Linked DNA regions of Nothobranchius furzeri. The protein of the gene in region 1 binds, or shares a complex with, the protein of each later gene. Links are inferred from orthologs where the notes say so. Each region holds a gene or a part of one and is shown in the gene's direction. Other genes may lie near its edges.

Region 1 (3,651 bases):
TGTCTGACACAACCTTGTATCTGGTCTTTGTAGCACTAATGAAGAGGAAGCCAAAGTCCTACTCAGCAGCTCTGATGGACCAAATCCCCATTAAGTACCTGGTGACCCAGGCCCAGGGGCTGCAGCAGGAGCTGGGGGGTGAGGTTAAAACTCTCACCCACATTAGTTGGTTCAAATGAGAAAGAAGAACCTAAATCTGAATAACGTTGTGTGGTTTCAGGTTTGCACTCAGCTCTACTAAGACTACTTGCCACTAACTACCCCCACCTGTGTCTGGTGGAAGACTGGGTGTGTGAGGAGGAGGTGACTGGTACCTTGCCTCTGCTGAGGAGGATGATGCTTCCCTTCATTGCCCGCAGATACACCCAGAACCAGCTTCACCAGGGTATGACGGAAACAGCATCAGCTCTGGTTCAATGAGCTGTTTCCACTGGTTGTGACTCATTTTAGACACTAAAGAATTGGATATAAAGCTACTGATATTCAGAGAAGATGAGTCCAGATCTGTTCTGTTTTCTCTAATCCAGCTTTCCAGAAGTTGCCCTCCAGCAGTCCCAGGCTCATGCGGATCCTGGAGTATCTAACGCTGCTCTCACCTGGAGACCTCATCCCCTATGCTGAGGCTCTCACAGCCAGCATGTCCCTGCTTCTGCAGCCCGCTGTGCCTCGGCGCCTGATCCAGACCCTCAACAAGCTGTGGATGGGCCTCAACACGGTGATGCCCCGCAGGTATGTGCTCTGGATACAAGGAGATGTTTCTTAGTGCAGCGGCCCGAGGATTTTCAATAAATACATTTGTAACCCCTTGACAAAAGCTTGCGCTAATCTGATTTATAACCAGTAGATGGAATAACTAGTAACCAAAACTAAGTTCAACAAAGGAGTCAATAACCAGTATGGGCAAAAAGTCAACTGATAAGAGGGGTTTTCATTCAAAGTGTATTTTGAATATTCACAAGGTGAAACAGTTTACATCAAATAAGCAGTGATATATTTACAAAAAACATTATAACCAATAGACCGTCCATCAGTTCCTTGAAGAGTTTCAGACTTCATCTGCATGAACAAGGGCTCGTTTCCTTGTGACATCAATCCAGGGTTCCACAGTTCAATTGGTTCAAGGGTGGCTCGCCATCCAAGGAAAATTCAAGACGGTGATTGGGATGAACTGAATGTAAAGGGAAAAGGAAAATAAATCCACACAAAAACCTGACCTAAAACAAAAGCCAGAAAGGGAAATTATTAATTCTACATATTTACATATGTACAAAATATCACAAATCATTCAGGTTCTCCACAGAATTTCCAGGAGGTCCACATTCACATTTTTCTTAATTACGTAATTATGTTTGTTTCACTCAATTTGATTAATTGCTCAGCTGAGCTTCCCCACACAGGAAACAAGTGCTTAGGTCAAATATCTTTGGACAGGACTTATGTGAAAACAATAAACCACATTCTGTCCAACATCTCAAGACACTAAAAATATTCCAAGCAACACTGGATCATGCAGCTAATCAGTGTAGATAAATGAATATGTTTACTCACCGATGAGTAGAAACACATACACAAACTTTGGCCTCGATTAGGCAAAAAGGGAGGATCTATGACGGTAAGTATAACATTAGAAAATAAAACAAGTAAATTGGCTCCATCGGTAACTGAGGAAGATGAAAGTGCAGCTTACCAACACTCCTGTAACTTTGCCAAAGTGCTACCCTTTTAAAATGGTACGGTTCAGTTTCTTCCTCTCAGAACAGTGAATCAACTGCACCCTCAGGTAAGCTGAATTGAAGGTTTTAGCAAGCACTGAAGACTGGCAGAGAAGACCAAACCCTGAAGCAACAGTGACTGTGATTCATCACTCCACCTGGAGCAACAACAGCTGGCTCATTAGCAGGTCAGCATTCCTCTTAAAGGGGAAAGTCCACAAACTGGGGAGCTCCCTCCAGATGCGTCAATCACATGGGTTACACTCTCCCCCCTTTTCCACAGGTCCGTCCTCTAACTCAAACCAGGTAACATATAGCTCTTGTCCTGCAGGATGGCCGTAAAGGCTGAACTCAGGCCGTGGAGCAGATTTTGGACACTGTCCAGCGGGGGTTTCCCAGGGAGGGAGTACTGTAGCCGTTCTGGTGGGTTGCCTGGAACGAGTGGATCAACGAAGTGTCGGTTCAATTTCAGGACTGTCATGGTCTGCAGGCACTATCAGATCCCGTTCCAAGGTGGCAATAACTGGTTCATAAGTTTTAATTGGAGAGGACCTTTTATCTGATGTAGAATTCTCAAGGGATGCAGTTTCCATGACAACTCCTCCCTGACCCTCCTCCACTGCATCTGTTTCCACTGGAAACTCCCCTGTCACCAGCTCCTTTACAGCAGTCCCGGGATCTGATAACACGGTGGGTAAAGGACAAGGCACAGTCAATGGGACATCAGGGGAGACAGATGGTTGAACAGGGACAACAATGACGGTGGTGAATCGCTGTGGCTCCATTGGAGCAGAAATAGGTATCAAGACCCCTTGATCATCCAACTCATTGACTGTAGTCTCAGGATTAGCTGAAGAAGAAGAGACAATGGTAGCCCTCCTGCCCTCCCTCACAGCTTGTGATGGCTCAGGTGGAAACAGGAACCCACAGGGAAGGAGGAGGTCTCTGTGCAGAGTCCTGAGTGGGGTAGCTTTACTTTCAGGCTTTACAGTATACACAGGTAAGTTGCTGGCTTTCTTTACCACAATGTACACCGTCGACTCCCACTTGTCTGCTAGCTTTTGTCGTCCCCTTTTCCGAACGTTCTTCACCAGAACTCTGTCTCCCTCATTCAGTTCTCGGGGTGTAACATGTTGGTTGAATCTGTTACTATCCATCGATTTTTGAACATTGTTCTTGGCCAACCGGTATCCTTCCTCCAAATGGGCTTTCAGCTCCTGGATGTATTGGGAGTGATTTACAGGACCGTTACCCATCGGCAACCCAAACGCCAGATCCACAGGGAGTCTAGGCTGGCAGCCAAACATGAGTTCATAAGGGGAATAACCGGTGGCATCGTTTCTAGTGCAGTTATAGGCATGTCCCAGGGGTTTGACATACCCTTTCCAATGGTGTTTTTGTTCATCATTCAAAGTCCCAAGCATGTCTAGTAAGGTCCTGTTAAAACGCTCTACTGGGTTTCCTCTGGGATGATATGGAGTAGTATGAGTTTTGTGAATACCCACCATCTGACATAGATCTTTAATAACCTTGGTTTCAAAGTCTGGGCCTTGGTCGCTTTGAAGATTTCAGGGAACCCATAGTGGACCAAGAAATTATCCCATAGACATTTAGCCTTGTTCTTGCCTTTTGGTTCGGTGTTGGCACAGCAATGGCGTACTTGGCGACATGGTCAGTCATAACTTGAATATCTTTGGTACGCCCATCTGGTTCTAATGACAAGAAATCCATGCAGATCAGTTCTAATGGCCTGAATGTATGGATGTTAACAAAGGGGAAAGTCCACTAACTGAGGAGCTTCCTCCAGGTGCGTCAGTCACATGGGTTACACATTTCTGGAGTCAAAAACAATGGCCTCAGTCTTAGTCTAAGTTGGCTGCCAACCACCCCTTCACATCAGAGAGTCAATCTGTGAGCAATAAATCTGTGTTTAGTGCAT
Region 2 (3,651 bases), on another chromosome or scaffold:
TTGGGAGAATATTGGCTCACCGCAGAGACGAGCCGCATGAACCATAAACGCTGCAAGTTGTGAAGCGCGTTCCATCCGCGAGCCGCATCACCAAGCGGAAAGTAAATGCGTCAAGCATAAACACACCGATGTTTGTAAGGTGGTCTTTAAGTTCTCTGGGTTGGGTCCCTGAAATCTGCAGAGAGGAGGGTGGATCTCAGATGTTTGCATGTTTTTGTGAGCTTGTGTGGAAGTTTCTTCTCACATCCTCTGTTTTACCTTCTGCTCTCAGGGCTTGAAGCCGCAGAGCTTCAGGAATCCCTACGACATCCCTCGGAGCCACCTCCTCGACCAGCTTAGCCGAATGAGGAGAAACCTGCTCAACACCAGCGTCTGCACTCTAAGAGGACAGGACTCTGGTAAGAAGGCTCTCTGCACCTCACTTATTTTTGCTATTTTCTGAAAAACAAAAAGTCACTAGCGATCGTTGATGCCACGTGTCCAGACCAGCTCCACAGTGTGCCAATCGCCCAGATGGGAAACTACCAAGACTTCCTCAAAGCTGCCCCCCAGCCACTTCGAGATGCAGATCCTGAGCAGCCCAAACGTTTGCACACGTTCGGAAACCCCTTTAAACTGGACAAGAAGGTACGTCCTGCCTATTCGCCTGGAATAAAGTGGATGTTTGGATCCAGAAAGGTGATGCTGACCCGATTTTTCACACAGGGAATGATGATCGATGAGGCGGACGAGTTTGTGACCGGTCCTCAGAACAAAGGCAAGCGACCTGGAGACAACAACATCAACATGCCGGGTGGGGGTCCAAAGAGACGTCGCTGCATGTCCCCTCTGCTGCGTCTGGGCCGGGCCTACACCCCTCCGGTATCGCCCTCTGCCAGTCCCCGGCACTCATCAGGTAGGACCAGAATCTACCCTGACGACTTCCAGAAGTAGACCACAGAAATTAAACCATCTCTCCAATCCCTTGCTTTATAGAAACGGACATAAATGACGGTTCTCCTGACCTGATCATTAACCACCTAAACCAGAACCACTATGGGTCAGACAGCAGCTCTGACTTGGAGATGGACCTCCACACAGGACCAGCAGACCTTCAGGAGAACCACACTTCTGATGAGGCTCAGGTCCTTCGGCACATGGACGACGATGAGGAGGAGGAGGAGAGCGGGCAGCAGCGTGCTGGCGAGCTGCTGCCCAGCCTCGAGGGAGGGGTGGAAAGGGCTCTGATAGAGGACCCGCCCCCCCGCTTCCTCTCACCATCCGCCCTGAAGAAGCACATTCACACCGAGACGACAAAAGTCAACAACGAGCTGAGGACACTCATCACCAAGGAGATCAGGAAACCTGGCAGACGTGTGTAGACCAGAGACTTCTGTTAATCTGATGTTTGAGTCACTTCCTGGGAGATTAAATAATCCTGAAACTCTGACCTGTACAAGCTGATGTTTGTTCCTTCTGCTTGGTTTGTTTCAGACTACGAGAAGATATTTCTTCTCCTGAAGCAAATCCAGGGAACTCTGGACACGCGGCTCATCTTCCTCCAAAACATCATCAAAGAGGCGGCCAGGTACTCGGAATTCTTATTTGCTGTGATTTTATGAGCTACGAGCAAAAAGATTGGGGGGGGGGGTGTTACAGAAGGTGAGTTCAGAACATCGAGGCTTTCCTGATAAATCTCTGCTTGACATGGCGCACCTGTTTACTTTGTCGGCTCCACGAACGATGCTCGGGTGGATTCAGTCCTCTCTAATTCAAGCGAGGCGCGGCAAGCGAGGCTCACGCACTTCCGGAGGCAGCCCCCGTTAATCGATGCTAGATAAATGATAAAGGGAAAGGCTGAGCCTCGTTCTTCTCCCAGACTGAGAGATATTTATTCATGCCTACGAGGACCACAAAGTTATCAGAACTAAAATAGAGACCGCCAGTTGCCTGATTATAACCGTGTAGCTGGCGCTATTTAGTTAGCATTCAGTGTTTACGTGTTTCCATGGCAATGCCGGAAGTCCGCTTCAGCTCTGTTTCTCTGCATATTTTATTTAAAAAGCAAGTCAACCCCTACCAGAGTCTAACTCCACTCCCACTTCCTGTTTGAAAAATGCAACAAATGCTGTTGCCTAGCAGACCGAGAGGGTGGAGCCGCTAACAAATACACACACACACACACACGACATTGTGACATCATGATGTACCATCTAACATCATAGTGCACCTCTTAGCCAATAGCGACGGCAGATTTAAATTCAAATGCAGTGCAGAATTTTTACCTGACGACGGTGCATCGCTGATAGTTTTAGGCAGAATATTTAAATTTTAACTGCGATGCACTAAAGTGCAAAACCATTGACTACACGTGTGTGCAGCACGATTAGACATGCATTTATATAGTTTATTGGAAAAAAATGTTGATTTGGAGTAACTTGCTCTTTAAAGAGCAAGTTACTCCAAATCAACATTTTTTTTGCTGATAAACTATATAAATGAGTGTGATTGTGCTGCACACACGTGTAGTCAATGGTTTTGCTCTTTAGTGCATCGCAGTTAAAATTTAAATATTCTGCCTAAAACTATCAGCGATGCACCGTCGTCAGGTAAAAACAAGAATGTGGTCATAGACACTGATAAATGATGCTTTAGTTTATGTAAAATAAATAAATGATTTTCATAATTGGAGTCACAGAGCAGGACTGAAGAGCTAACCGCTAGTCGAAGCAGCGTTTAATGACTCCAGTCATGGAGGTTCGTGAATCTGCAAACCGTCACACATTTTCCATCTTTAAGGACTCCTCCTACATGTTTGTCCCTCCCTCCTACGGAGCTGGAGCGCGTCAGACGCTAAAGCCTAGATTATACTTCTCTGTCTGCGTTGTTATGGAGATACGAAACACGCGGGCTCTCTGGCAAGCTCGCAGAGGATGACGTATTTAATGTCTATGGCCATCGCCTCGTCAAAAAATAAAACGATATCTAGCTGCAAACATGGAACAGATTGAACAACGCGTCGTGGAAAAGTCAGAATATATGAAAGTTTATTCACCCGTGACTGAAGGAGGACTTTTGTTTTTCCTCTCTTCAAAGGTTCAAGAAACGCGTTCTGATTGAGCAGCTGGAGAACTTCCTTGAGGAAATCCACAACAGATCTAATAACATGAACCACGTGGACTCGCTCTGAGACCGGCTGAGCCCAAACCCGCCCCCGTCCCCCGTAAAGCCCAAACACGAAGTTCCCTTGAGGAGACAGAATCCAGCCCAGGAGCCACGGCCACTTCAGCCAGCCCGCCAACATTTAAGGTGGCCGCGTTGGTCCAGGCTGACCCATCACCAAAGGCAGATCTGACCCTGGAGGATGGTTCAGATGGCTGCGAGAATGAACAGGAAGTGGTGACTGCTGCGGGTGAAGCCTATGCAACCAGATGTTCTGTTGGACGTTTGACTGCAGCTGCTGCCTGAGCCTCTCCTCGCTAACTCACGTGGTCACAGTTTTCTTTTACTTAAACGAGTATCTCCTAAACGGAGAGAGGACGAAACTCTCGTGGAGAGGACCAGAGGGCAGCTGCAGCCTGAAAACTTTAGTTTTTGTGACCACGTGTTCGGGAGAATAAGAGTTCAGTCTGAGAGGTGTGTGCTTGTTTTCTGATAACTCGGGGTCGAAAA

The links. Proteins that work in one complex are often made in the same cells at the same time.
Region 2: the proteins of ints2 (region 1) and ints6 are in contact, whole or in part, in a cryo-EM structure (PDB 8RBZ), measured with the Homo sapiens proteins. The link is inferred for Nothobranchius furzeri from reciprocal best matches to the Homo sapiens genes INTS2 and INTS6. Residues at the interface, in NP_065799.2 of Homo sapiens: Ile855, Asp856, Pro857, Leu858, His895, Arg923, Glu925, Leu926, Lys927, Ala929, Leu930, Ala932, Ala933, Gln934, Ser936, Ala937, Gln940, Ile941, Glu944, Asn1010, Lys1013, Leu1014, Phe1017, Gln1018, Gly1019, Tyr1020, Pro1021, Ile1046, Ala1047, Gln1048; in NP_036273.1 of Homo sapiens: Ile484, Val486, Arg487, Ser488, Arg489, Phe527, Gln528, Val529, Ala530, Leu531, Leu532, Asn533, Phe541, Arg542, Asn543, Ala544, Tyr545, Ile547, Arg549, Leu552, Leu553, Leu556, Met559, Arg560, Asn562, Leu563, Leu564, Lys565.

What each region holds. Positions count from the first base shown.
Region 1 is NC_091750.1:42,354,380-42,358,030, reverse strand, and holds part of ints2 (integrator complex subunit 2), read left to right. Parts: intron 1-33; coding exon 34-138; intron 139-220; coding exon 221-385; intron 386-527; coding exon 528-729; intron 730-3,651. UniProt on the Homo sapiens protein: Component of the integrator complex, a multiprotein complex that terminates RNA polymerase II (Pol II) transcription in the promoter-proximal region of genes.
Region 2 is NC_091754.1:31,110,569-31,114,219, forward strand, and holds the end of ints6 (integrator complex subunit 6), read left to right. Parts: intron 1-271; coding exon 272-398; intron 399-484; coding exon 485-627; intron 628-705; coding exon 706-895; intron 896-975; coding exon 976-1,353; intron 1,354-1,473; coding exon 1,474-1,567; intron 1,568-3,075; coding exon 3,076-3,169; 3' UTR 3,170-3,383; downstream 3,384-3,651. UniProt on the Homo sapiens protein: Component of the integrator complex, a multiprotein complex that terminates RNA polymerase II (Pol II) transcription in the promoter-proximal region of genes.